4 linked regions of the Anolis sagrei genome follow. The protein of the gene in region 4 purifies or fractionates together with the protein of the main gene of each other region. This does not show direct contact. Links are inferred from orthologs where the notes say so. Each region holds a gene or a part of one and is shown on either strand. Other genes may lie near its edges.

What was found.
Region 1: the proteins of SMAD7 (region 4) and RNF111 purify together in Homo sapiens (affinity purification with western blotting; 3 studies listed by BioGRID). This does not show direct contact. The link is inferred for Anolis sagrei from reciprocal best matches to the Homo sapiens genes SMAD7 and RNF111.
Region 2: the proteins of SMAD7 (region 4) and ACVR1B purify together in Homo sapiens (affinity purification with western blotting; 3 studies listed by BioGRID and IntAct, with this or other methods). This does not show direct contact. The link is inferred for Anolis sagrei from reciprocal best matches to the Homo sapiens genes SMAD7 and ACVR1B.
Region 3: the proteins of SMAD7 (region 4) and USP15 purify together in Homo sapiens (affinity purification with western blotting; 3 studies listed by BioGRID). This does not show direct contact. The link is inferred for Anolis sagrei from reciprocal best matches to the Homo sapiens genes SMAD7 and USP15.

What each region holds. Positions count from the first base shown.
Region 1 is NC_090029.1:12,186,990-12,194,213, forward strand, and holds the start of RNF111 (E3 ubiquitin-protein ligase Arkadia), read right to left. Parts: upstream 3,004-7,224; 5' UTR 2,818-3,003; intron 1-2,817. UniProt on the Homo sapiens protein: E3 ubiquitin-protein ligase. Required for mesoderm patterning during embryonic development. Acts as an enhancer of the transcriptional responses of the SMAD2/SMAD3 effectors, which are activated downstream of BMP.
Region 2 is NC_090022.1:139,321,812-139,328,758, forward strand, and holds the start of ACVR1B (activin receptor type-1B), read right to left. Parts: upstream 3,010-6,947; 5' UTR 2,865-3,009; coding exon 2,729-2,864; intron 1-2,728. UniProt on the Homo sapiens protein: Transmembrane serine/threonine kinase activin type-1 receptor forming an activin receptor complex with activin receptor type-2 (ACVR2A or ACVR2B).
Region 3 is NC_090025.1:140,457,575-140,464,941, reverse strand, and holds the start of USP15 (ubiquitin carboxyl-terminal hydrolase 15), read right to left. Parts: upstream 3,022-7,367; 5' UTR 2,995-3,021; coding exon 2,726-2,994; intron 1-2,725. UniProt on the Homo sapiens protein: Hydrolase that removes conjugated ubiquitin from target proteins and regulates various pathways such as the TGF-beta receptor signaling, NF-kappa-B and RNF41/NRDP1-PRKN pathways.
Region 4 is NC_090022.1:288,279,986-288,287,870, reverse strand, and holds the start of SMAD7 (mothers against decapentaplegic homolog 7), read right to left. Parts: upstream 3,011-7,885; 5' UTR 1,704-3,010; coding exon 1,091-1,703; intron 1-1,090. UniProt on the Homo sapiens protein: Antagonist of signaling by TGF-beta (transforming growth factor) type 1 receptor superfamily members; has been shown to inhibit TGF-beta (Transforming growth factor) and activin signaling by associating with their receptors thus preventing SMAD2 access.

The sequences.
Region 1 (7,224 bases), on a different chromosome or scaffold from region 4:
GCCCTCTGTTTAAAAAGTTTGTGGACCCTTGTTTTATGTAATATATTGAATTGTGTGTGCAGATCTAGATATATCTTTGAGTCACAATCTCCCTCCAGATCTATATCTATAGATAGATAGATATAATATAATGTTTTATAGAGAGAGGGGAGGAGGGGGAGAGAGAGAGAGAGAGAGAGAATAAAATATACCGGCGACCTTTTGGTCAGCAAGTTCAGCAACTCAGCAGTTTAACCCACTGCACCACTGGGGCTCCATATATATATGTATATACTATTATATTTTGTGATATGTATATATATATCTATATATATATTGGGGGTGGTGACGACCAACAGGGAGCTCTGGCGTGGGCTGGTCCATGAGGTCACGAAGAGTCGGAGGCGACTGAACGAATGAACAACAACTCGGGATGAACGGAGTCATCCCGAGTCCCTCTGCGGAGATTGAGATATGACGGGATATAAAAGCCTGGAATCTATATAAATAAAAATGTAGTGTTCGTTTGTGGGATTAACAGAACTCAAAAACCACTGGACAAATTGATACCAAATTTGGTCACCAGACACCTAACAATCCCATGTATGTCCGTCACTTAAAAAAAATTGATCTTGTCATTTGGGAGTTCCTGGGATTTATAGTTGACCTACAATCAAAGAGCATTCTGAACCCCACCAACGATGGAATTGAACCAAACTTGGCACAGAGTTCTCTCAAGACCAACAGAAAATACTGGAAGGGTTTGGTGGGCAGTGTCCTTTGGTTTTGGAGTTGTAGTTCACCTACTTCCAGAGAGAACTGTGGACTCAAACAATGATGGATCTGGACCAAACTCTACACAAATACTCAATAAGCCGAAATGTGAACACTGGTGGAGTTTGGAGAAAATAGAATCTTGACATTTGGGAGTTGTAGTTCCTGGGATTTATAGTTCACCTACAATCACAGAGCATTCTGAACCCCACCAATAACAGAATTGGGCCAAACCTCCCACACAGAAATTGGGCCAAACCTCCCACACACCTCCCCATGACCACCAGAATGGGACACAGCAACGCATGGCAGGGGACGGATAGTATATATATATATATGTGTGTGTGTGTGTATGTATGTATGTATATATATGTGTGTGTGTGTAATGTTCGTTTGTGGGATTAACAGAACTCAAAAACTACTGGACAAATTGACACCAACTTTGGACACAAGACACCTAACAACCCAATATATGCCCTCCACTAAAAAAAAATATTTTGTCATTTGGGAGTTGTAGTTGCTGGGATTTATAGTTCACCTACAATCAAAGAGCATTCTGAACCCCACCAATGACGGAATTGAACCAAACTTGGCACACAGTTCTCCCATGACCAACAGAAAATACTGGAAGGGTTTGGTGGGCACTGTCCTTTGGTTTTGGAGTTGTAGTTCACCTACATCCAGAGATCACTGTGGACTCAAACAATGATGGATCTGGACCAAACTCTACACGAAGACTCAATATGCCCAAATGTGAACACCGGTGGAGTTTGGGGAAAATAGAATCTTGACATTTGGGAGTTGTAGTTGCTGGGATTTATATTTCACCTACAATCACAGAGCATTCTGAACCCCACCAATGATAGAATTGGACCAAACCTCCCACACAGAAAGCCCATAACCACCAGAATGGGCCACAACAACGCGTGGCAGGGGACGGCTAGTATATATGTGTGTGTGTGTGTGTGTATATATATATATATATAATGTTCATTTGTGGGATTAACAGGACTCAAAAACCACTGGACGAATTGACACCAAATTTGGGCACAAGACACCTAACAACCCAATATATGTCCTTCACTCAAAAAAATTGATTTTGTCATTTGGGAGTTGTAGTTGCTGGGATTTACAGTTCACCTACAATCACAGAGCATTCTGAACCCCACCAACGACGGAATTGGGCCAAACCTCCCACACAGAACCCCCATGTGGGCCACAGTAATGTGTGGCAGGGGACAGCTATATAATGTGATACATACATATATATATATATATATGGCATTATATGTGTGTGTGTGTGTGATATAATATAACGTGATACATATATAAATATATATATATATTCCGAGCCACAATCTCCCTCCATATGTAGCTATATCTATGGGCCCTTCCACACAGCTATATACATACATATATATATGGCATTATATGTGTGTGTGTGTTATAATATAATGTGATACATATATATATATTCCGAGCCACAATCTCCCTCCATATGTATCTATATCTATGGGCCCTTCCACACAGCTATATACATACATATATATATGGCATTATATGTGTGTGTGTGTGTTATAATATAATGTGATACATATATATATATTCCGAGCCACAATCTCCCTCCATATGTATCTATATCTATGGGCCCTTCCACACAGCTATATACATACATATATATATGGCATTATATGTGTGTGTGTGTTATAATATAATGTGATACATATATATATATTCCGAGCCACAATCTCCCTCCATATGTATCTATATCTATGGGCCCTTCCATATAGATATATCCCAGAATATCAAGGTAGAAAATGCCACAATATCTGCTTTGAACTAAGTTGAGTCCACACTCAGATAATGTGGGATTTTCTGTCTTTGTATTCTGAGAGAGAGAGCTGTGTGAAAGGGGCCTATACAATATAACAAGGCCCCCTTCTCTCCAAGCAGATCTGCGTGTCTTTCTCCTCCCGGGCCGGGCCGGGCCTAGTCTCCCCCCGAAGCCACGGCCTCCGTTTGCAGTTATGCCCGAGGCCAGGGGCCCTCCTCGGGCCTACTCACCGGAGGGTGCGCGGTGGGGCCTCCCGCTAGGCTTAGGCCTGAGCCTTCCTGCCTTCCTTCCTTCCTTCCCCCTTCGCGGCCTGGCTTTCCCTCAGGCGCCGCTCTCCTCCTCCTCCTCCTTCTCTTCCTCACCGCCTCTGTCGCTCTGCTCGGCGGACGCAGCAGCGCGACACTCGGCAGTGGGATTGCTTTACGGCAAAGCCGCCAAGCAGCGCCGCCACCGCCTCTCCTAAGCCCCGCCCCCTCAGGGAGTAAAGAGGTTCAAAAGCACTGAACGTCACGTCTGGTTCTGGTGCGACGCTTTTGGGTGAGAGTCATGGCAGGGTCATCCACACAGTCAAAGGCTTTAGAATTGACTACTCTAAAGCCTTTGACTGTGTGGATCATAATAAATTGTGGCAAGTTCTCGGTGGGATGGGCATCCCAAGCCACCTTGTCTCTCTCCTGAGGAATCTGTACAAGGACCAAGAAGCAACAGTCAGGACTGACCACGGAACAACAGACTGGTTCAAGATTGGGAAAGGCGTACGGCAAGGCTGCATCCTCTCACCCAACCTTTTTAACTTGTATGCAGAACACATCATTCGAGGATGTGCGGGGCTGGATGAATGCAAAGCTGGGGTGAAAATTGCTGGAAGAAACATTAACAACCTCAGATATGCAGATGACACCACTCTGATGGCCGAAAGCGAGGAGGAGCTGAGGAGCCTTCTAATCAAGGTGAAAGAAGAAAGCGCAAAAGCCGGGTTGCAGCTAAACATCAAAAAAACCAAGATTATGGCAACAAGAATGATTGACAACTGGGAAATAGAGGGAGAAAACGTGGAGGCCGTGACAGACTTTGTATTTCTAGGCGCAAAGATGACTGCAGATGCAGACCGTGGCCAGGAAATCAGAAGACGCTTCCTTCTTGGGAGGAGAGCAATGTCCAGTCTCGATAAAATAGTAAAGAGTAGAGACATCAGACTGGCAACAAAGATCCATTGCCTAGTCAAAGCCATGGTATTCCCTGTAGTCACCTACGGATGTGAGAGCTGGACCTTAGGGAAGGCTGAGCGAAGGAAGATCGATGCTTTTGAACTGTGGTGTTGGAGGAAAGTTCTGAGAGTGCCTTGGACTGCGAGAAGATCCAACCAGTGCATCCTCCAGGAAATAAAGCCCGACTGCTCATTGGAGGGAAAGATACTAGAGACAAAGTTGAAGGACTTTTGCCACATCATGAGAAGAAAGCAAAGCCTAGACAAGACAATTATGCTGGGGAAAGTGGAAGGTAAAAAGAAGAGGGGCCGACCAAGGGCAAGATGGATGGATGGCATCCTTGAAGTGACTGGACTGACCTTGAAGGAGCTGGGGGTGGTGACGGCCGACAGGGAGCTCTGGCGTGGGCTGGTCCATGAGGTCACAAAGAGTCGGAGACGACTGAACGAATGAACAACAATCACAAAGGACTACCACCTCACCTGCTTCATAGGAAACCTGCTACAAAACAGGAGCTTTTTTGTTGAGTTCAGGGCCAGAGAAGCAGATGGCGGAAACAGAAGAACGGCCTGCTTCAGGGGAGCGTGCTTGCTCCATCAATGTTCAACATTTACACAAATGACCATTCCACCTAAACATTAGGAAGAACTTCCTGATGGCAAGAACTGTCCCACAGTGGAATGGACTTCTGTCTCGAAGTATGATGGAATCTCCTTCTCTTGTGGTCTTCAAGCAGAGGTGGAAACTACAACTCCAAAACCCAAGGTTAATGCCCACCAAACAAGTGTTAATGCCCACCAAACAAGTTGGACAAGTGTTTTCTGTTGGTCATGGGAGTTCTGTGTGCCAAATTTGGCTCAATATCATAATTGGTGGAGTTCAGAATGCTCTGGTTGTAGGTGAATTATCAATCCAAGCACTATAACTCCCAAATGTCAAGGTCTATTTTCCCTAAACTCCACCATTTATTTATTTATTTATTTATTTACTTTACTTTACTTGTATACCGCAGTTTCTCAGCCTAACCGGCGACTCAACGCGGTTTACAACAAGGATAAAATCAATCAACGATATACAATTTAAAACCACAAGAGCACAATATACAATATTACACAACAGTAACAACACAATGCATCTCATAACTAGAGTTGTGATCCAAATTCGTCGTCCATATTTCCATTCCTGTAATCGTCACATTCATTGCACTGATTAACCAAATGCCTGTTCAAACATCCAGGTTTTTAATCTTCTTCGGAACACCATTAGCGAGGGGGCTGATCTTACCTCCATGGGAAGGGCGTTCCACAGCCGAGGGGCCACCACAGAAAAGGCCCTGTCTCTCGTCCCCGCCAGCCGCACCTGTGAAGCAGGCGGGATAGAGAGCAGGGCCTCCCCAGAAGATCTTAGGGTCCTGGCGGGCTGATAGGCAGAGATACGTTCGGATAGGTAGCTTGGGCCAGAACCGTTTAGGGCTTTAAAGGCCAACGCCAGCATTGAATTGAGCCTGGTAGCAGATCGGCAGCCAGTGGAGCTGGTGCAGCAGAGGAGTGGTATGCTCCCTGCGCTCCGCTCCTGTTAGTATCATGGCTGCCGAACGTTGGACTAGTTGGAGCTTCCGAGCTGTATTCAAAGGCAACCCCACGTAGAGAGTGTTACAGTAGTCTAAACCATTGTTCAAATTTGGGCATATTGAGTATTGTGTTAAGTTGGTCCAGATCCATAGTGGTTTGGGTTCACAGTGCTCTCCGGGATGTAGGTGAACTACATCTCCCCTAAATGGAAATGTGAGATCGAGCTCTCAAGCCCCAGCTTTCAAGCTGATCTGAAAGTGCAGCAGAGTTCCTGAACATCTGGATGAGCCAGCAACAAAGAGACTGTGGCCACAGCAGCATTCAACTAAAGACTATTTCTCTCCATTTTCTTTCCTTCCCCTTCCCTAACATTGTAACTATCCCCCAATAAAGAAGTATTTATTTGTAACATTTCACTCTCTGTAGTCATATGTTGTATCCCTTTACTGCCTCTAACCCAGTGGTTCTCAACCTTCCTAATGCCGCGACCCCTTAATACAGTTGTGGTGACCCCCAACCATAACCCTAACATTATGAATCGCCATGTAAATAATAATCTGCAGGATATATTTTCATTCACAGGAACAAATTTGGCACAAATATCTGGTATACCCGAATTTGAATACTGGTGGGTTTGGCAGGGGGATTTATTTTGTCATTGGGAGTTGTAGTTGCTGGGATTTATAGTTAACATGTAAACAAAGAGGATTCTGAACCCCACCAACAATGGAATTGAACCAAAGTTGGCACAGAAAATTCCCATGATCAACAGAAAATACTGGAAGGGCTTGGTGGCATTGACCTTGAGTATGGGAGTTGTAGTTCGCCTACGTCCAGAGAGCACTATGGGCTCAAACAATGATGGATCTGGACCAAACTTGGTACGGACACTCAATATGCCCTAATGTGAACACTGATGGGGTTTGGGGAAAATAGACTTTGACATTTGGGAGTTGTAGATACTGGAATTTATAGTTCACCTACAATCAAGGAGCCTTCTGAATCCCACCAATGATAGAATTGGGCCAAACTTCCCACACAGAGCCCCCATGACCAACAGAAAATACTGTGTTTTCTGATGGTCTTTGGCGACCCCTCTGACACCCCTTCGTGACCCCCTCAGGGGTCCCGACCCCCAGGTTGAGAAACACTGCTCTAACCCGTTCTAACATGAACCTTTCCTTTTCTGAGCTTCAGATCACTGCTGGCTCGCCAAGGATGCTCTTACAGCGTCCCGGAGAGGCCGAAACTGTGTTCCTCTGAACCGTGGATATGGAAATCAATTTGGCCCCCGTATCTGCAGGTCAACGGACCATCTCCAGACCGGTGCCATCTTTTTCCTAGATTAATTCTAAGACTAAATGCCATCTCGCTTTTTGCACTATGGACCCCTGCGCCCCGAGAAAAATCATTTTTATCTCAAAACCTCATGTGGGGACCAGTTGACTTTGGTCCATGGCTCCATGCGGCAGCGACATTTGTGCCTCCATCTTGTGTGTGTCCAGAAGCCTGCCAACCCCGGGGAACCTGCCGTGGTCACCCCTTGGGAATCCTGAACCTCTGACGGGGCATTCTGGCCATTGGACAAAATTGGATTTATAGTTTTCCTTTCTTCAAATGAATGGATCTTGACCATCAGCACTCACAGTAACCCCAATGTGCTCCCCGTGGACTCTTATGAACTTTCCAAGGCTCCCTATGAACTTTCTCCCAACCTTTATGAACTTTTGCAACTTTTTAAAATTTTAATCAACTTTTGGTGAACTTTGGAACTCTCAGGCGCCCTCTGCCTAACCCCAGTGAACCCTTTATGAAATTCCACAACTCTTTATGAACTTTTAAGGATTTTGGGGGGAGG
Region 2 (6,947 bases), about 150 Mb from region 4:
CCCCAATATATTTTTTCCAGGGAGGAACTCCGTCCCAAAACCCAGTTCTTCCATGGTTTTGAATTTTCAGGAAATCTGCATCTGAATGTCCATATTAACAAGGACCCCTTCCACACAGCTGAATAAAATCCCAATAATCTGCTTCAAGCTGGAATATATGGCAGTGTGGACTCAGATATCCCAGTTCAAAGCAGATATTGTGAGATTTTCCGACTTGATATTCTGGGTTATATGGCTATGTGGAAGGGCCCAAGAAGGTACATAATGAGGGAAGCGTAAAATGTATTTTTCACATGATAAAAAATCATTTGAGGTAAATTTGACAGGTGCTGGTTTGTAAATATGGAATTGAGAATTCATGGTAAAATTACGATAATTTATTATTCCCCTATAGATCTTTAAGTGACTTCATAAGAAACATCATCAAGAGACTATTCCATATGAATAAACTGCCCTGCATCAGCATCAGCTCTGTCAATGTACAAGATGTTCTCAAGAGCAAGGCTTCTTACCTTCTTTGAAAATAAATTAACAAATGTGTCTGCACATAAGGAACTGGTTTGTGACTGGCTCCTTCTTTGATGATGTCTTTGTTGAGACAGCAAGGGGGAATTAAGAGTCATCAGACTGACAGTGCTTTACAAGTGAAACCAAACAATAAAAAACCAGGCTATTTAAGGTGAACCCAAACCTCACTTAGAATGTATGATTACTTTCAAAGGTTAACATATGATTTCCTTTTCGGAGGAGAAATTTGTGTTGAACGTTATCTCCTGTATTTGAAAATGTTTTGATTTTTATTATTACTTTGAAATATTTCTATCTGCATATACCCACAAAATAAGATATCTTAAAGATGGGCCCCAAGCCTTAAAACGCCATTTATTGCTGTTTCACATATACTTTATCCACTGTATACCAGATTTTAAATAACTTTGTGAATTAAACAAAGATTGCATTACTGAACCACCAGAAAGCAAAAGTGTCATTATTATAGTACAGGACAAAATGTTTTTAACATGATATAGTTTTAAAGTCTAGGTTTTCTTTTCGAAACCTATAGTGAGAGTAGCATTTTTGTAAATAGCTTTTAAATAGTGATAAATTTAAATTTATATCATAACCTAATGTAAGCATTCACATGGATGAATGATTTTAAGGTAACTACTATAGAACAGGACAAAATGTTTTGAACATGATATAGTTTTAAGGTCTAGGTCAGGCATGGGCAAATTTTGGCCCTCCAGGTGTTTTAGACTTCAACTCCCACAATTCCTAACAGCCAGTAGGCTGTTAGGAATTGTGGGAGTTGAAGTCTAAAACCTAGAATTGTAGGAGTTGAAGTCCAGAACACCTGGAGGGCAAAGTTTGCCCATGCCAGGTCTAGGTTATCTTTTTGAAACCTACAATCAGAGTAGGGTTTTAAATGGTGTTAAATTTAAATTTATATCCTAACCCAGTGGTTCTCAACCTGGGGTCCCCAGATGTTTTTTGCCTTCAACTCCCAGAAATCCTAACAGCTGACAAACTGGCTGGGATTTCTGGGAATTGAAGGCCATAAACATCTGGGGACCCCAGGTTGAGAACCACTGTCCTAACCTAATGTAAACAATGTACTGATGTGGATGAATGACTGTAAGGTGGAATGCTTTGAATGCAATTTTCCTGCTTCTTGGCAGGGGGTTGGACTGGATGGCCCATGAGTTCTCTTCCAACTTTATGATTCTACACTGGTCGTGGACTGTAAATATAAGATTTTGATTTGATTTGTCTATTTCAGCCATCCATGTGGACCATTTTGGAATTTAGGGCAAGAGATGCTCAAACTGTACATCTTGTTGACAAAATATGTAACATCCATTTAAACGTGCTTTTGAAGACATCGGTCTCTCAGAGTCAGTTCTGTGATACAATACAGAGAGAAAAGGAACTGGCAGGCCTTCAAAGGCCTCTCCCCTCTCTCACACACACACACACAGAAACACACCAACGCATGGGCACAAAAGGACCCCTCCCCTCGTCTGCAAAAACACACACCAATAAATGACTGAATAAAGATCAGATGTCCCTCTCATCTTCCTGGATGGTTTCTGAACCCTAGCATTGACACCCCTCAATGGCGAACCATCTCTATAAATAAATGGCCGAATAAACATCACCTTCTTCGATGGCGCCTAAGCCCCAGCCAATGAGCCACCCCAACAGGAGGCGAATAAATGACTACATAAACAAACGCTAAGGTGATGCTCTCTCCTTCCCCGATGGGGCCTAAGCCCTAGCCACTGAGCCACCCCAATAGGGGGCGAGCCCCCTTCCTGCTCCCCAGTCCCCCAGAGGCAGGCAGGCAGGCAAACACACCCGACCAAGGCACGTCCGCCATACCTTCCCAGGACGCCGCACCTCAGAAGGAAGGCGCGCCGCCTCATTCCAGCCATGGCTGCTGCTGAGGAAGGAGCCACACAACAGGAGCTTCGAGGAAGGGCTGAAGGATGGCATGGGCCTCCCCTGGGGAGGGATAGATGGGGGACGGGGAAATGGGGGGGGGGGACTTGCTTCCTCTTCCCCCCACCCTTCCCCCAATAATCTTGGCCTCCTTCTCCTCCTCCTCCTTTTTCTCCACTACCCTGTGAGGAAGGCTCCCCAATATCGCAGCCGCCATGTTGGCGAAGGCTCTGTTTCTTTCCCCCCTCCCGCTCCCTCCCTCCCCCCTCCCTCCGCTCGCGCTCACCTTGGGCCCCCCGCTGGCCCCCCAGCAGCACCAGCACCAGCACGGCCAGCCCGAGGCAGGTAGGGAAGAAAGGGCGCGGGGCGGGAGGAGCAGCAGGAGTGGCGGCGGCGTTGGCGCGAGCCGGGCCCCCCGCCATGGCAACGGCGGCCTCGCGGCAACCTCCCCTTCCTCGCTCGCTCGCTCCGACAACAGCGGCTCCAGCAGCAGCTGAGGCGACGCACGGCCGAGACCGCTGCTGCGCGAGACAAATCAGGCACACAAGACAAGCCAGCGAGAACTGGAGGGGAGGGGGGAGGAGGAGTGGGAAGAGCCTGCCGGGCTTTAAAGGGGAGGCGGCGCTTGGCGCTTAAAGGGGAACACAGGCAGCCGGTGTCCGCTAGGCATGGATGTCGGCGGACAAAAAAAGACGCGCGTGCCTTAGATCAGGAGATCAAAGAAGTGGACCCTGATACCAAAAAAAAAAAAAAAAAAAAAAAAAAAAACAAAAGGCGGTTTCCTGCCTTCTGTGTTCTCCAGGAAGGGACTTTCTTGGGGCCCTTCCACACAGCCCTGTATCCCAGGATAGCAAGGCAGAAAGCCCCACATTATCTGCGTGTGGACTGAGGGTCCTTCCACACAACCCTATATCCCAGAATATCAAGGCAGAAAACCCCACATTATCTGCTTTGAACTGGGTTGTCTGAGTCTACACTCAGATAATGTGGGATTTTCTGCCTTGCTGTCCTGGGATATAGGGCTGTGTGGAAGAGCCCTCAAGAGTCTTAGTTTTTAGGCCTGTTCCTGGGGTTATTTGGGGTGCTGATTCAAAAAATTGCATTGGATGGACCCCATCAGCTCTGGTTTCTTAGGTCCCTTCCACACAGCCCTATATGCCAGAATATCAAGGCGGAAAATCCCACATTATCTTTGAATTTGATTTTCCTGCTTCTTGGCTGGATGGCCCGTGAGGTCTCTTCCAATTCTATGATCTGAGTGTAGACTCAGATAACTCAGCGCAAAGCAGATCTTGTAGGATTTTCTGCCTTGATATTCTGGGATATAGGGCTGTCTGGACAGGCCCTTGAGTCATCAGACTAGTTTAGGGGTGCTTCCACAGATCTGCTTTCAACTGGGTTATCTGAGTCCACACTGCCCTATATTTCAGTTTTTTCTTTCGTGTCAGGAGCGACTTGAAAGTTGCTTCTGATGTAAGGGAATTGGCTGTCTGCAAGGACATTGCCTAGGGGACAACTGGATGTTTGATGTTTTATCAACCTTGTGGGAGGGTTCTCTCGTGTCCCCACATGGGGAGTTGGAGCTAACAGAGGGAGCTCAACCTGCTCTCCCCAGATTTGAACTGCTGACCTGTCGGTCATCAGCCCCGGCAGCACAAGGGTTTAGCCCATTGCACACTGGGGGCTCTATATATTCCAGTTCAAGACAGATAATCTGGGATTTTATTCAGCTGTGTGGAAGGGCCCTTAGATATGGTTGACACAATTTTCTAAAGGCAAGCAGATGAATGCTGGTAGATGGCATATGTTCTGTATCTCAAAAAGTAGAGCCCATAGGGGGGAAACTGGTGCTATTTGTGGGATTTCCGTGTCAAATCCACCTAGAAACAGCCCTAACTTTTGTGGCTCCAAAATGTGTGTTGGCCAGTGTAGTCTTCCTTGGCTGAGTGTAGAAAATGTGGGTAATCTTTTTCTTATTTCATTGCTATTGCACATGCCCCTCAAGAATGGGACGCAAGTTATTTAAAACAATGTAAATTAAAAACAATGCTACAGCTAAGCTAAAAGTATAACCTAGGCATGGGTAAACTTCAGCTTACCCATTCCTAACACCCTTTAGCCCTTTCCTTTACCCCTCAGCCACTTAAGTGGGAAAGGGAAAAGGAAAGGACCTCAGGGTGTTAGGAATAGTGGGAGTTGAAGTCCAAAACATCTGGAGGGCTGAAGTTTGCCCATGCCTGGTATAATCCCTAAGTGTTTGAGTGTTCGGACAGCTCTTACCAAGAAAATCCTGTGGTAGTGTTGCCATGGATTTGTAGAGCAAACAACAAAGTGACTAAATATCAACATCTATATCTATACGTAACTATGTATGTATATATGTCTGTATGAGAGAAAACTGCTAAATATAGCTTTAAAACTGTATACACTCTCTTAAAAAGCCATTACAAACCACTGCACAGCACTAAACCCAACCCTACTCAGTTTGAAAACACAGACTTTGACTGACAAAAATAACATGAAAATGTTGAAAAGAAGAGCTAGTTCTATTTGGTCCTGCTCATAAGCATTTACTTCCAGAATCACATTATGAACATTCACAGTTACAAGACCTGACTTGTAACTATTATCAAAGTGCTTTTTAACACGTGTTCATTAACGTTTGGCCCCATCATTTCAGTTATTACTTTGAACTGACAACTATGCTTCAATTGCTTTTATTAAAAGGAGTTATACCTTTTTTGTGTGTGACAACAGGTGACCTGAAAGTTTCTTGTTACTCTGATGGCCTATTCGCAAAAGAGGCTTGCCGTTTCACTTAATTTTGGACTAATTCCCAGAATCTCTCAAGCAGCATGGCAAGGGCCTGTGGGGATTCTCGTAGTATTAGGCCAAAAAGTAATTTTTCTAAGCTCCAAATGTAAGTTGTAATTTGGTGTTAGTAGTCAAGAGCTGAAGATTATGAATGTGTAAAGAAAACCTGTGTGTAGGGAAATCCAGTAATGTGAACTTGTTTTATACCCAAATTGTAACATTCATTATGCTATTCTCATATTTATTGTAGGATGAATTCTGCTGCCTCAATGATACTCTTTTGGATATGCGCTTGCACATTGAGTCAGATATGGAGCAGACTGGAGGACTGGTGATAAGACTTGCATCATGTACATAGCAGGTACAAAAATGCAATGTAAACATTACTTAAAACTAGGAGACAGTTTGCGACACTTCATAACCTGGTAGTAGTAGTGATAGTGATTCATTTTAATTGCCTCATCCACACCAGAGCTTTCCAGATATTTCATGTTGGAGGCACACTTTCAGACGTGTAATTTCCACAACACAACGTAATCAACCAATGAAAATTCAATCATGTGACACACCCGGGCACTCCAGTCAACACACAGCTTGAAAACAGTTTGTCTACATGAAGGATTAGGGTGCATCTACGCTGTGTAATTAATGCAGTTTGACACCACTCATTGGTATGGAATCATGGGAGTCGTAGTTTGAGGATACAACAGCAATCTTTGGAAGTGAAAGCTAGAAAAGAGGCACCAGCTCTGTACAACCCCCATGATTCCATAGCATTGAGTCACGGCAGTCAAAGTGATGTCAATCTGGATTAATTCTGCAATGTAAATGCACCCCTGGCCTTGGTGTAGATATATTTCTTTGCTGTTAAACCCTAAGCTTGGGGAAGCTTACATTTCCAGTGAAGTCAGATGCAGGAGATTGAAGATTTCCCTCTCTTCTCATGCATGTGAATTTAAATACTCTTTTAAAGCTTTCCTGCATTGCTGGCTCTATATGAAACTCAGACACAATGACACTGGATACCCCTAAGTCTGAACAGCTATTTTCAGACCCCAGCATTTTTAAACCAGGCAGAGGATCTTTCTAAATGCAGCTCAGCAGAGTGGTGTAAGCCTCTCTCTTGAGAACCACCTTCCAAATCCTGGTGCTGGTGGCTCCCTAGAGGGGTAAAATCCATGTGAGATCCTAGTTAAAATATGCCTGGTTGTACAATAAACATAGAGAGACTAAGATCTGTTTCTCCTTTCTGCCATGGCACACAAGTGCTGTGCTATGGGTCCCCTGGGGAGCATATGTGCTGCTGGGGCAGTTGCATTCCAGACTTGAAGAAAATCCCCCATCTTACATTCTTTCTGAAGGCTCAGCTCATGATTCACTTATGGAATTCCTGGTCTGCCTGCCTGCTTGCGTGTGCTCATGCGCTTGGACAGAGTTACACCAGGCCTCCAAAGCTTAAAGCAAGGAGAGCATGTCCAGCTGCTGGACCCTTGCCAAGAGATGTACGGACTGTAGATAAAGAATGGCTGGAAAATAAGAACACTTCAGGGAGTGAAAGTGGTTCTGATCATTCACACAAACGTACAAATTTGTTCTCTTCCTTTCTGTTGTGGTTGTGCAGACATTTGTCTACATCTACAGAACTTGGTTGCATCAGTGCATGAGCCAGGGATAGTGTTAATGAAGATGTA
Region 3 (7,367 bases), on a different chromosome or scaffold from region 4:
CCCAGATAACCCAGGGCCCTTCCACACAGCCATATAACCCGGAATATCAAGGCACGCATTCCCACATTTTCTGCTTTGAACTGGATTATATTTTATTATTTTTTATTTATTTAGAACGTTTATATCCCGTTCTTCTCTACCTCTGTGGAGGGACTCAAACCGGCTAACAACAGCAAAAATTCAATGCTAAACAATAAATAACATTTTAAAAACAACGTACATAATAAATAAGTTATAAAATACATATAAAAGACAGTTCGCTGAGTTAAAAACATCATCCAACTCAATCCAAACATTATGGTCCAATAACTCTTAGTCTTTACCAGTCAATCCATCAATCTGCGAATGCCTGATTCCAAAGCCAGGATTTCAGTTTCTTCCTGAAGGTCAGGAGGGAGGGGGCAGACCTAACCTCATTGGGGAGAGAGTTCCATAGCCAGGGGGCCACCACAGAGAAGGTCCTGTCTCTTGTCCCCACCAAGCACAACTGCGAAAGTGGTGGGATGGAGAGCAGGGCCTCTATGGAAGATCTTAAAGTCCTTGATGGTTTATAGGGGAAGATATATTCAGAGAGGTAAACTGGGCCGTGTAAAGTTTTATAGGTTAAAACCAGCACTTTGAATTGTGCTCGGAAGCTAATCGCCAGCCAGTGGAGCTGGTGTAACAGGGGGGTTGTGTGCTCTCGCGAGCAACCTGGCTGCTGAGCGTTGGACTAGTTGGGAGATTCCGGGTAGTCTTCAGCGGCAACCCCATGTAGAGTGCGTTGCAGTAATCTATTTGGGATGTAACAAATGGCAGGGTGGACTCTGTTCTAAGCAGATATTGTGGAGTTTTCTGCCTGGATACTCTGAGGGCCCTTCCATACAGCGTTATATCCCAGAATATCAAGGAGGAAAATCCCTTATTATTATTATTATTATTATTGTTATTATGATTATTATTAACTTTATTTGTACCCTGCTAACATCTCCCGAAGGACTCAATGCGGCTTACAAAGGCCAAGGCCTCAATAAAAACAACAGCATAACAATACACATAACATTATAAAGCAAATCAAAACATTAAGCAATAACAGTAAACAATAAAAACAAAACACCATAACACAAAAAACTAGGGCCGGGCCGAATGTAATGGGTACATATTAAAAAGTGCTGAGTATGACAGGTGAAATGTAGGATTTTAGGGTAAGTGCAATATGCAGACAATCTTAAATCTCTGATAAAGTGCTTCTGGGACATATTGCTGGAGTTTCCTATTCTGGAAAGGCACACCGGAACAGCCAGGTCTTCAAACTCTTCCTAAAGACTGCCAGTGTAGGGGCTTGTCTGATGTCCTTGGGGAGGGTGTTCCAAAGTTGGGGGGCCACCACAGAGAAGGCACTGTCCTTCGTCCCCACCAGACGCGCCTGCGACGCAGGTGGGATCGCGAGCAGGGCCTCTCCAGATGAACGAAGAGAACGTGTGGGTTCATAAACGGAGATGCGGTCACGCAGGTAGGCAGGTCCCAAACCGTTTAGGACTTTGTAGGTGAGCACCTGCACCTTGAATTGGGACCGGAAAATGAACGGCAGCCAATGGCGCTCCTTAAACAGGAGGGTTGACCTCTCTCTGTAAGGAGCACCAGTTAACATCCTGGCCGCCGCCTGTTGGACTAGCTGAAATGTCTGAGCTGTTTTCAAGGGCAGCCCCACGAAGAGCGCATTACAGTAGTCCAATCTAGAGGTGACCAAGGCATGGACCACCCTGGCCAGATCAGCTTTTACAAGGTATGGTCGCAGTTGGCGCACAAGTCTCAATTGTGCAAAAGCCCTCCCGGACACCGCTGAAGCCTGGGCCTCAAGCGTAAGTGATGAATCCAAGAGGACTCCCAAACTGCGGATATATCTGCTTTGAACTGAGATATCTGAGTCCATACTCAGATAATGTGGGATTTCCTGCCTTGATATTTTGGGACATAGAGCTGTGTGGAAGGGCCCCTAGTTCAAACCAGATATTGTGGGATTTTCTGCCTGGATATTCTGAGGGCCCTTCCATACAGCTCCATATCCCAGAATATCAAGGCAGAAAATTCTACAGTATCTGCTTAGAACTGGGATATTTGAGTCCCCACTCAGATAATGTGGGATTTCCTGCCTTGATATTCTGGGAGATAGGGCTGTGTGGAAGGGCCATTAGTCCAAATCAGATACTGTGAGATTTTCTGCCTTGACATAACCCTAGCCTTAATGACAGCTGAGCCTTGAGCCATGGCAGTTACATGGGTGCCGAACTGCATTCGTTCTCCATCCTTGGGTGAGGGATACTCCACCCTAGAGAGTGTGAGAGGGCCCTTTCCGGCAACACAGGCCTCAGCGTGGAAGCTACTGGTGGGAGGGGAGGCTGTGGCTGAGAAGCCTTGCCTAGAAAACACACCAGCACAACAGACGCATTTCCTCACGCCACCCTGCTTCGGGGCCCGTTTGAAGCAATGGGGCGAGCCAGGCCCTCCTGAGAGCGGGAGGATGGGGGCGGGGCGGGGAATGGGGAGCCCCAAAGCCTCCCACCTGGCAGCAAGGTAAGCCCTTTTCCTCCCTTAGAGGAAGGGAGGAGTGCTTCCCTCAGCAACCAGGAAAAGGCAGCAGCAGCAGCAGGAGGAGTCGCGCGCACCTGTCACTCAGGAGGGCCCTCCAACCCCCGCCCTTCCTCCCCTCCTCTCTCTCTCTCCCTCTCTCTCCCCTTCGCCTCACCAGGTGTCGCCTTTGCGGAGGGCCGTCTTGAGCAGCGCCGTGATGTCCGAGCGCTGGGTCTCCAGGTCCGCCGCGCCTCCCTCCGCCATGTCTCCCAGCCCCGCGGCGCCGGCGGCGGCGGCGAAAGTGACGGCAGCAGAGGAGGAGGAGGCGGCGGTGACAGGCGCGGCGGCGGCGGCAGGAGCGGGCCGCGCTGCATGCTGGGAGTGACGCCGCGCGGCGACCGGGGAAACGCCCTCCACGACCCCCTCCCACTTCGGCAACCCCATGGATGGGCGCGAGGGAGGGAGGGAGGGAGGGAGGGGAGGGGGCAGCAAGAGGAGGAGGAGGAGGAGGCGAGGCCTCGCGCAGGGTCTGCGGGAGGGAGAGAGAGCGACTCCAGGCGGCTTGGAGGACTGCGCCGCCCTCTGCGGGACGCGCATGCGCGGTTGGGCACAGCCCGGTTTAGGAGCGGCTTTAGCAGAGAGGAGGGGGAAGAGTCAAAAATGGCCGCGCTCTGTAGGAGAAGGGAAGGCGCCTCTATGGCGGATTCTGTTGGGTTCTCCCACTAGTCCAGTGGTTCTCAACCTGGGGTCCCCAGATGTTTTTGGCCTTCAACTCCCAGAAATCCTAACAACTGGTAAACTGGCTGGGATTTCTGGGAGTTGTAGGCCAAAAACATCTGGGGACCCCAGGTTGAGAACCACTGCACTAGTCTATATAAATAAAAATGTAATGTTCGTTTGTGGGATTAACAGAACTCAAAAACCACTGGACGAGTTGACACCAAATTTGGACACAAGACACCTAACAACCCAATGTATGTCCTTCACTCAAAAAAATTGATTTTGTCATTTGGGAGTTGCAGTTGCTGGGATTTATAGTTCACCTACAATCAAAGAGCATTCTGAACCCCACCAACGATGGAATTGAACCAATCTTGCCACACAGAACTCCCATGACCAACAGAAAATACTGGAAGGGTTTAGTGGGCAATGTCCTTTGGTTTTGGAGTTGTAGTTCACCTGACCGCTGTGGCTGTCTGGATGAGGACGAACAAGCTGAAGATTAATCCTGACAAGACAGGTCCCCTGGTCGATCGTAAACCAGACTGGGGTATAGGGTGGCAACCTGTGCTGGACTCCCCCTGTAGTCACAGGTCTGCAGTTTGGGGGTCCTCCTGGACTCATCACTTACACTTGAGGCTCAGTCATCAGTGGTGGCCGGGAGGGCCTTTGCACAATTAAGACTCGTGCGCTAATTGCGACCGTACCTCGGGAAGGCGGATCTGGCCAAGGTGGTCCACACCTTAGTCACCTCTAGACTGGATTACTGCAATGCACTCTATGTGGGGCTGCCCTTGAAAACGGCTCGGAAATTTCAGATGGTCCAACGGGCGGCAGCCAGGTTGTTAACTGGGGCTCCTTACAGGGAGTGGTCAACCCTCCTGTTCAAGGAGCTCCACTGGCTGCCATTCATTTTCCAGACCCAATTCAAGTGCAGGTTCTTACCTACAAAGCCCTGAACAGTTTGGGGCCCGCTTACCTGCGTGACCGCATCTCTGTATACGAACCCACACGATCTCTTCGATCATCTGGAGAGGCCCTGCTCTCGATCCCACCAGCATTGCAGGCGCGATTGGTGGGGACGAGAGAGAGGGCCTTTTCGGTGGTGGCCCCTCGACTCTGGAACTCACTCCCTAGAGACATCAGGCAGGCCCCAACTCTGGCAGTCTTTAGAAGGAGCTTGAAGACATGGTTGTTCCAGTGTGTCTTCCCAGAATAATGATCCCATAGCACTTTGTCCTCCGAAGCACTTTACATTTTAGGTCTGCTTGTATATTTTCCACAAATGCCACTACCACCTTTTCGCCCATGCTCCAGCATTATTTTCAATTTTAATTTTATATTTGGTCCTTCCCACAGTTTTAATTGTGTGTTGTCTTATTGTTAATGTTGCATATCTTATTGTCCATGTTTTTTTCATTTTAATTGTTTGTATTGTTGTTACAATTGCGTGTATTGTTGTATTTGGGCTCAGCCTCATGTAAGCCGCACCGAGTCCCTTGGGGAGATGGTAGCGGGGTACAAATAAAGTGTTGTTGTTATTATTATTATTATTATCCAGAGATCACTGGACTCAAACAATGATGGATCTGGACCAAACTCTACACGAATACTCAATATGCCCAAAAGTGAACACTGGTGGAGTTTGGAGTTTGGAGAAAATAGAATCTTAACATTTGGGAGTTGTAGTTGCTGGGATTTATAGTTCACCTACAATCACAGAGCATTCTGAACCTCACCCATGACAGAATTGGGCCAAACCTTCCACACAGAACCCCCATGTGGACCACAGCACCACGTGGCAGGGGACAGCTAGTTTTTTTAAATATTGATATAGAAATTTGTATTAAGATTTGTGTATACTAAGGCCTCTTCCACACAGCTGAATAAAACCCCACAATGGATTATGTTGACTCAAGATAATCCAGTTCAAAGCAGATATTGTGAGACTTTCTGCCTTGATAATCTGGGTTATATGGCTGTGTGAAAGGGCCCTAAGACATATTTCAAACATACAAGCAAGCATGCTACAAAATAAACTACTACAATCTATATAAGTCATGGGCAAACTTGGGCCCTCCAGGTGTTTTGGACTTAAACTACAACTATATTGTTGTAGCAGTTTCTTTGTAGAATGCACATAGGACAAGACTGGTTTTGCTTGTGTGATAAATCTGAAAATGAATTATTTCGGAAGAAAAGACAAGAAGGAACAATGTGTGATGGGATCTGAGAAACAGTACGATTTAATTTCTAAAGCTTTGTTGTTGTTTATTCATTCAGTCGCATCTGACTCTTCGTGACCTCATGGACCAGCCCACGCCAGAGCTCCCTGTCAGCCGTCATCACTCCCAGCTCCTTCAGAGTCAAGCCAGCCACTTCAAGGATACCATATTGCCCTTGGTCAGCCCCTCTTTCTTTTTCCTTCCATTTTCCCAAGCATCATTGTCTTCTCTCAGCTTTCCTGTCTTCTCATGATGTGGCCAAAGTACTTCATCTTTGCCTCTAATATCCTTCCCTCCAATGAGCAGTTGGGCTTTATTTCCTGAAGTATGGACTGGTTGGATCTTCTCACGGTCACTCTCAGAATTTCACCACAGTTCAAAAGCATCTATCTTCCTTTGCTCAGTCTTCCTTATGGTTCAGCTCTCACATCCGTAGGTTACTACGGGGAATAACTATGTGGATCCAACCGGACATAATGTCACGGATATATGCTGCTCCCCTCCTAATGGGATGAGGTCTTTTCTGTGGTTATAGAACATCCAACTTCTCAATAGAATTAATGTTACACTCATTCTATTAAACAACCCATTAGTAATCAAATCCAAAAAGTGTCAAGGGCTTCCAATATTTCAAAAACTGTACTATATTTTTTCCTCTAATTGGTAGACAGTTTGTCAATTTCTGCAATGCTTACTTTCAGCAGTGTTCTTCAACCTCCAGAAGTCTGCCTGCGATAATCATATACTGAAGTATTCTCTCATCACTCTTTCTAGTTCATCAATCCCATTCAACTGCTTTTATCATGAATTGGATACCATTTAAATTTTAAAGCTTTAGGCAGTCTGTAGTGTATCAACAAGGTGCCTTTACCTAATATTGTAATACCAAGATCTTACAAAATTAAACAGACTAAGGGTTGAAATGTAGCTTTAGGAAGTTGAGATCTGCATAGTACACACATATTACTACATTTTTGTCTGATGATAAGGTTTGGAATTTCTTTTGCAAAGTGCTTTTTTAACCCTCTGATAAAATCGTTAACAGTAAAATCATATGAAGGACAGTTTTCTCTTAGGATGTGAAGAACTATTCCTTGTCCTCCCAGTTCTGTCTGCCTATACGGTCAGTTTATTATTATTATTATTATTATTATTATTATTTATTAGTTTGCTTTGTATTATATTGGTGGTTTTGTTTTTGTTTTTAATTTATCTGATGATTTGTTTTGTAGTTGTATAGCTTTGTATTTTGTTATTCCTCCTTCCCTAGGTGTATGTATACAGGCATATTTTAGATTTTACAACTTTGGGAGGACCCACTGTTTTAGGCTACTTCACTATAAAGAACAATGCATTTTAATAATGCTGTATAAGTGAACAATTTTGTTTTAATTTATTGTAATGCAGTATAATTTACTGTTCTATGTTTTAATTCTGTTGACTGGGCCTGGTCCCCATGTAAGCCGCCCCAAGTCTCTTTGGGGAGATGGTGGCAGGATATAAGAGTAAAATTAGTAATAATAATAATAATAATAATTTTATATAAATATTCACTTCAGTACCTGGCAATGCCTGGGTAAGGTCATTAGGAAGGAGAAACATTAGAAACAGGCATTGTTTGGTTTTGAATTTTATGACTGGACACATTAGATAATGCATAAGTATGTTGGTGAACTACAAGTCCGATCATAGCAGGTGACACCCCCCACCTGTTAAAGTTGGGAATGATGGATATGTATGCCAAGTTTGGTCCAGGTCCATTCTCAGTGAGGTTAACAGTGCACTTTGCATATGGGTGAACTATACCCCTCATTGTCCTCCATCATTGCCTCCCAGTGCTCTCTAGAAGTTTTCCCTGAATGTGGGGAGAAC
Region 4 (7,885 bases):
GGGGGGGGGTTGAGAAAAATGAAGAAATGAGGGAAGAAATGGAGAAAGAAATGAGGGAAAGAAAAGGGGAGAAATGGAAAAAGAAATAGTTAAAGAAATGGAGAAAGAAATAGAAAAAGAAACAAGGAAGAAATGGAGAAGATGGAGAAAGAAATTGAGGAAGAAATTAAGAAAAAAACAGTGGAAGAAATGGAAGAAAAAACGGGACAAAGCAGGGAAGAGTAAGGGAAGTAGTGGGGAAAGGGGCGCCCCCTCCTCTTTCCCACTCCAATCCCCCTGCAATGGGGGAAGGATAAAGAAATGAAGGAAGATATGGGGGAAGAAGAAATGGAGAGAGAAATAGGGGAAGAAATGGAAAAAGAAGCAGGGGAAGAAGTAGGGGAAGAGTGGAGGAAGCAGTTGAGGAAGGGGCGCCCCCTACCCCAATTCTCCCTCCAATCCCCTTCCAATGGGGGAAGAAGTGGATAAAGAAATGGAGAAAAATATGGAGAGAGAAATAAAGGAAGAAATGGAGAAATAAGCAGAGGAAGAAACAGGGGAAGAGTGGGGGAAGCAGTTGAGGAAGGGGCACTCCCTTCCACAATCCCCCCTCCGATCCCCTTCCAATGGGGAAAGAAGTGGATAAAGAAATGAAGGAAGAAATGGAGAGGATAATAGAGAGAAAAATGGAGAAAGAAGCAAGGGAAGAAGTAGAAGAAGAGTGGAGGAAACAGTGGAGGAAACAGTGGAGGAAGGGGCGCCCCCTACCCCCCTTTCCCCCTCCAATTCCCTTCCAATGGAGGAAATTGATAAAGAAATGAAGGAACAAATGAAGAGGATAATAGAGGGGAAAATTGAAAGGGAAGCAGGGGAAGAAGTAGAGGAAGGGTGGGGGAAGCAGTGGAGGAAGGGGCGCCCCCTCCCCCCTTTCCCCCTCCAATACCCTTCCAATGGAGGAAGAAATTGATAAAGAAATGAAGGAAGAAACTGAGAAAGAAATACTGGAAGAAAGAGGGGAAGAAGTGGAGAGAGATGGAGGGGAAGAGTGGGGGAAGCGGTTGCGAAAGTGGCGCCCCCCTGCCCAAGCCCCCCTCCAATCCCGGCTACCTACCGAGTTCGCAGAGCCTGCTGAGGTGGAAGGGGTTGCAGCAGAGGGGCTCGGGCCCGGGCGCCTTCCCGTAGGACTCGCAGGCGGGGAGGCGCTTGAGCTCGGCGCCGGGCCGGAGGTCTGGCCATCGGAAGACCTTTCCGAGGAGGAGCGGGAGGGAGTACCAGTGGGGCCCCAGCTTGGCGTCGCCCTTGCCGGGCAGGAGGAGGCAGGCGGTGCGGGTGGCGCCGCGGGACTCCACGGCCTGGAGCAGCGCCTCCAGCTGCTTCTCCTTCAGCCGCTTGAGCACGGCGTGGGTCAGCGCCTTCAGCTCCGCCTCCGAGCCGCCCGCGTGGGGGCCCTTGGGGGCCTTGCCGCCGCCTTTGCCCAGGCAGCAAACCCGGCTCCCTCCTCCTCCGCCGCCGCCATGCGCCCGGGGATCCAGCGCGCCCTCGCCCAGCTCCCCGCCGCCTTCCTCGTCGCCTCCTCCGCCGCTGGAGCTGCCTCCGCCGGTTCCTCCTCCTCCGTGGCCGGTTCCCCCAGCTCCCGCCGCTGCTGAGGCCGCCGCCGCCGCTGCTCCCGGGGCACGGCTCCGCCAGAGTCTCCGAACGAGCACCGAGCGTTTGGTCCTGAACATGCGGGACGAGAAGAAGGGCGCTCCCCGGCTAAGCAGCGGGCATGCCGTCCGCAACTCATGAAGGATCCGGGGCCCGAGTCCAGGCAGCCAGGGCCAGCAGCCTGAAATGATGATGGGGCCGCGGAGGGAGAGCCGAGAAACGGGGGAAGGAGGGAGGGGAAAAACAAGGGAGGGAGACCCACGAAAGGCCCCTCTCCGCCTCGGCCTCGGAAAGGAATCCGCCGCCTTTACATCCACGGAAGGAGAGAAAGAGAGCGCGAGGGAGTTCGTGGGGAGGCCTTCCTTTCGCCTTCCCTTCCCTCCTCAAAGAGCAACACAACACACCGAGTCAGAGCCAAGAGATAGACACCATGCCCTCGCTCGCTTCTCCTCCAAAGAAACACAATCCGGATGGATGGAAGGAAAAGGAAGAAAAGAAAGGTGTATTTCCAAGGGTGCTTCTCCTTCTCCTTCCTCTTCTTCTCCCAAGCCTAGAGCCAAGTCGTCTTCTGAAGTGAGTGAGGATGGAGGAGTTGCGTGGCTTAGTTCCCTCCTCCTCCTCCTCCTCCTCCTCCCCCGCCCCTGAAGGAAAAGAAGGGGCTGCGAAAGAAACACAGGAAAGGAGGAGAAGAAAGTCTCCCTCTCTCCAGCAAGGCACACGCTGCTGCTCCGGAGGATCCTCAATCAATGCACAATCCTTCCCAAGGAATCTCTAGATGTGGTCCTGCTCAAAGGAGGGCGAGGCAAAATAGATATATATTTGTAGCGAGTCTTTAAGACCAATCCACTGCCACAATCGCGAGGTTTCTTCTCATCCAGACCAAAAAGAAATCCGTGCCTGGCTTTGGTGAGGAGGGAGAGGAGGAGGGGGGCTTTTCTACACTGGGGGGCTTCTCCTCCTCCTCCTCCAAAGCTGGAGCATCGCCTTTCCGTGCAAAGCCAGCAGCCCCCTTCTTCTTGGAAAGGCTTGCCTTCCTTCCTTCCTTTCCTCGGCACAAGAGCGAGGTTTCCTCGGTGCCAAGTTCTCCCCCACAATCTCCTCTTTTTTGGAGGGGGAAGGGGAGGAAAGGAAAGGAAAGGAAAAGGGGGAAAGGAAAGACGAAGAAGAGAGAGAGAGAGGAAACGCCGCGGTGCCCAAGAAGTCGGCGAGGAGGGAAGGACCGAGGAATGACAGGCGGGGGCAGAGTGTCGCCAGCCAAGCCTCCTGTCTGTCTCTGTCTGTGTGTGTGTGTTGTGTGTGTGTGTCTGCGTCTCTCTCTCTCTCCAATGCGGTTCCCTCCGCGCCTCCTTCTCCTTCCTCTGACGGCTGTCTGCGCCCTCCTTCCTTCCAGCCGGAGCAGCGCCTCTGTCGACACACACAGAGACGACGCACAGACACACACACACATACGCGCACAACAGGGAGGGAGGGGGGAGGAGAAGGGGGAGACCCAGAGCTCTCCTTCGGCCCGGGCTTCCTCTCTCTCTCTCCTTTCCCTCCCTCCTGCCCTTTTTCCGCTCCCTTTCTACCTCCTTCTTCAAGCGCAAGGAGTGGAAGCCAACAGAAGGAGGCGCGCCGTGCGCCCTGGCCTCGCTTCCCTCTCCAGCCTTTTCCTCCCTTCCTTTTTTCGAGCCGACCTCGCTTGGGAGGCTTATGCGGGCACGGATAGAAAGAAGAGCCTTTTCAGAATGGAGTGGTCGCCATACAATGTTGGATTTGGGTTCTTACAAAGAGGGGGAGAGGCGGGAAAGGGGTGCCCCCCCTCCCGGCTTGTGCGCCAGTCCCTTTTACGCACGGATTGTGCGCGCTCGATATGCTCTGCGTTGGCTCTGGTTTTTTCGTGCCAAGGCGACAGGGGAAGGGGGGCTAATGTGGGCTGGGGTCCCTTCTGCCCCCTCCCCACAACCCAGTCCCCTCTTCTCCCTCCTCTCTTCCTCTTCCTCCTCTCTTTCCCCTCCTCCTTCTCCCGCCTGGCTTTGGGTAGCTTTCCGACTGCGCAGTGGGCCACTCTCTTCCTCCTCCTCCTCCTCCTCTCCAATCCTCTCCTCCTCCTCCTCCTCGCCGCCTCTCCCCGTCCTCTCTTATCACGTGGGCGTCTAGACACCCTGTCGCTTTTTGATTTAAAAAAAAAAAGAAGCAAAGAAGGGAAGGAGGGGGAAAAAAACACCCAGCGATTGTATTGCGCAAAGGCGGCATCGGGTGGCTGGAAGCTATTTTTTTCTCTCCTCCTTTTTAATTCCTGAAGTCCAAGGGAAGGGAAGGAAGGAAGGAAGCTCGCAGGGTTGAAAGGGAAATCTCGAGGGAAAGAACATCAACAATCATAGAAGCAAGGTTCAGGACATCCGAGGAAGTGGGTTGGTGATGCTCTTCAAAGCTCACCAGACTCAGGACTCTCAACCTTTCTCATGCAGTGACCCCTTAATGCAGTTCCTCATGTTGTGGTGACCCCCAACCAGAAAATTATTCTCATTGCTACTTCATAACTGCAATTTTGCTACTGTTCTGAATTGTAATGTAAAAAAATCTGATATGCAGGATGTATTTTCATTCACTGGACCAAATTTGACACAAACACCTCATTATGCCCAAATTTGAATACTGGTTGGATTGGGAGGGATTGGTTTTGTCATTTGGGAGTTGTAGTTGCTGGGATTTATAGTTCACCTACAATCCAAGAGCATTCTGAACTTCACCAATGATGGAATTCAGCCAAACTTGGCACACAAAATTCCCATGACCAACAGAAAATACCAGAAGGGTTTGGTGGGCATTGACCTTGAGTTTTGGAGTTGTACTTCACCAACATCCAGAGAGCACTGTGGACTCAAACAGTGATGGATCTCAACCAAACTTGGCACAGATACTCATTATGCCCAAATGTGAACACTAGTGGATTTTGGGGGAAATAAACTTGACATTTGGGAGTTGTAGCTGCTGGGATATATAGTTCACCTACAATCTAAGAGCATTCTGAACTTCACCAACGATAAAATTGAACCACACTTGGCATACAAAGCTCCCATGACCAACAGAAAATACCAGAAAGGTTTGGTGGGCATTGACATTGAGTTTTGGAGTTGTAGTTCACCAACATCGAGAGAGCACTGTGGACTCAAACAATGATGGATTTCGACCAATCTTGGCACGAATACTCAATATGCCTAAATGTGAACACTGGTGGATTTTGGGGGAAATAGACTTGACATTGGGAGTTGTAGCTGCTGGGATATATAGTTCACCTACAATCAAAGAGCATTCTGAATTTCACCAACGATAGAATTGAACCACACTTGGCACACAAAACTCCCATGACCAACAGAAAATACCAGAAGGGTTTGGTGGGCATTGACCTTGAGTTTTGAAGTTGTAGTTCACCAACATCCAGAGAGCACTGTGGACTCAAACAATGATGGATCTCGACCAAACTTGGCCCAAATACTCATTATGGCCAAATGTGAACACTGGTAGATTTTTGGGAAAATAGACTTAACATTGGGAGTTGTAGCTGCTGGGATATATAGTTCACCTACAATCAAAGAGCTTTCTGAACCCCACCAATGATAGAATTGGGCCAAACTTCCTACACAGAACCCCCACGACCAACAGAAATATTGTGTCTGGCAACCCCTTTGACACCCCCTCACGACCCCCACCCAGGTTGAGAAACACTGTGCTAGGGGCATTTTTTCTGAATACCCTCCTCTTTAGGTTGTTGTAGGTTTTTTGGGCTGTATGGCCATGTTCTAGAAGCATTCTCTCCTGACGTTTTGCCTGCATCTGTGGCAGGCATCCTTTCCAATAGATCTCACAACTTCTGAGGATGCCTGTCACACTACAGAACCTAGAAAATGCCTAAGGTAAAGGTCGGTTTTCCCCTGACATAAGTCCAGTTGTGTCTGACTCTGGGGGTTGGTGCTCATCTCCATTTCTAAGCCAAAGAGCCAGTGTTTTCCATTGACACCTCCAAGGTCATGATTGCATGGAGCGCCATTACCTTCCTGTCAGAGTTGTACCTCTTGACCTACAGCGGGAGCTCATGCCGCTCCCCGGATTCGAACCTGTGACCATTATTCCATGCCCAAACAACAACAACAGTTAGAAACAATTTAAACAACATTAAAACAACATATGAAAACATTAGACAACTATTGTGCAGAGATCCAACGCCAGATAATCATTTAATCATATTCATCAATCCAAAGCCAATTCCAACTGTATTATACAGATAATTATGCTGGGCCAAATGCTTCCTCCCAAAGCCAAGTTTTCACATGTTTGCAAAATGACAGGTGATAAGGGACCAATCTAATCCCACTAGCCAGGGAGTTTCATAGTCGAGGAGCCACCACTGAGAAAGCCCTGTCTCTCATCCCTACCAGTCGCGCCTTTGAAGGTTAGTTATAGAACTATATAGATCAAGCTTTCAGGACAGTGCAATAAAGCAGTGATAGGAAACCTTACCAAACCAATTAAATTAGATGCAGATGATCAAGACGGTTTTAAGCAGTGTATTTTAATGTTGAGACAAATGTTTTTTAATATGTATGTATGCATATAATTATGGAGCCCCTGGTGGCGCTATGGGTTAAACCACTCAGCTGCTAAAGTTGTTGACCGAAAGGTTGCATGTTCAAATCCGGGGAGTGACATGAGCTTCTGCTGTGAGTCCCAGCTTCTGCCAACCTAGCAGTTCCAAAACATGCAAATGTGAGTAGATCTGGCAGGAAGGTAATGGTGCTCCATGCAGTCATGCTGGCCACATGACCTTGGAGGTGTCTACAGACAATGCCGGCTCTTAGGCTTAGAAATGGAGATGAGTACCAACCCCTAGAGTTGGACACGACTGGACTTAATGTCAGGGGAAAACCTTTACCTTTACTACTTACGCATATGTAATGAATTCATGCCCTGGCACTGAATGTTTGCCATTTGTATGTTGTGCACTGCCATGAGTCCCCTTTGGAGTGAGAAGGACGGAATATAAATGTTTTAAATAAATAAATAAACGATCAGTTCTATAGTGTACGTAGATGCAGCGCTGTATTATAACAGCACCAGAAAAGGGGCTTGAAATCATCAATCTGTCCTATATATGTGGAATGGGTGTGGGGATAGAATCATAGAGTTGGGAGAAATCACAAATATTATTCACTCCAACCCCCTACCATGGAATGAAAACACTCCCATCAGATGGCCATCCAACCTTTCCTTTAAAAGCCTCTAGAGATGGAGCTTCCACCACACTCTGGGGCTGCATGTTCCACTGCTGAACAACTCTTACCATCAGGAAGTTCTTTCTAATGCTCAGGTGGAGTCGTTTTTCCTGCATTTTGAAGGATATTTTCCTTCAATTCAGACAACAAACAAAATTTGGGACAGCCCTGTCTTCAAGTCCCTGTTTCGCTTCTCTGAGACAGCAGATATTTACTTTAAATCTGTCTGAGATCTACCAAGACAAACAAGGAACTCGTCTGGACAGATCTGGCAAGCCAATAAATTCTTCCAGGAGATATGGGTTAGTTGATTCCCTGTCTAAGCTGTCTGGGTCCAACTCTCTGGAAAAAGGTGTGTGTCTGTGTGTGTATTTTGGGCATTCGCCCCAAGCCTTCGAAGTGTCTATAATTCTTCTGACCCACTTCCTCATTCCAATATTGGAATGCACTGAACTTCGCAGCCCATTCTTTTTTCATCAGTAGGATGGTTTGATGACCTAGATAATGGGACAGCAAAGTTACTTGCTCCTCTCTTTATCTGATAGAGACATCCTGCTCAGTTCAGAGGCACCTGTTTCCACATGCATTCGGGCTAAAAGCTTCCTAAAGTATGGCGAATCAAAACGTGTTGGTTCATTGCGATTCAGAAATTTGAAAGAAAATCACTCAGATAGCTCCATGTACTTGTAGGGGCATTCTGATTTATTATTAAATTGGAAAAAATTATGGTGGTTAATATGGAGCCAGACGTTTTCTCGTCCCTGATATCCTGTCCACAAGAAATGATAGAAGCCTCCAAACCTGAATTTCCAGACTTGCACTTCCCAAGGGGATGTTGGTGGAAACCTTGTTCCACAAGTGCCTTTGAAGAGTTAATGGTGAGTGATAAACTCAGGTTAATTTGCAATGCAATTCAGAATTTGGCAGACAGCTGGAGCCAGGGAACTGTTAAACTAATTGTCTTACTAACGGCACCAGGGTGTGACAAAGCAAAACCCCACAAACAAACA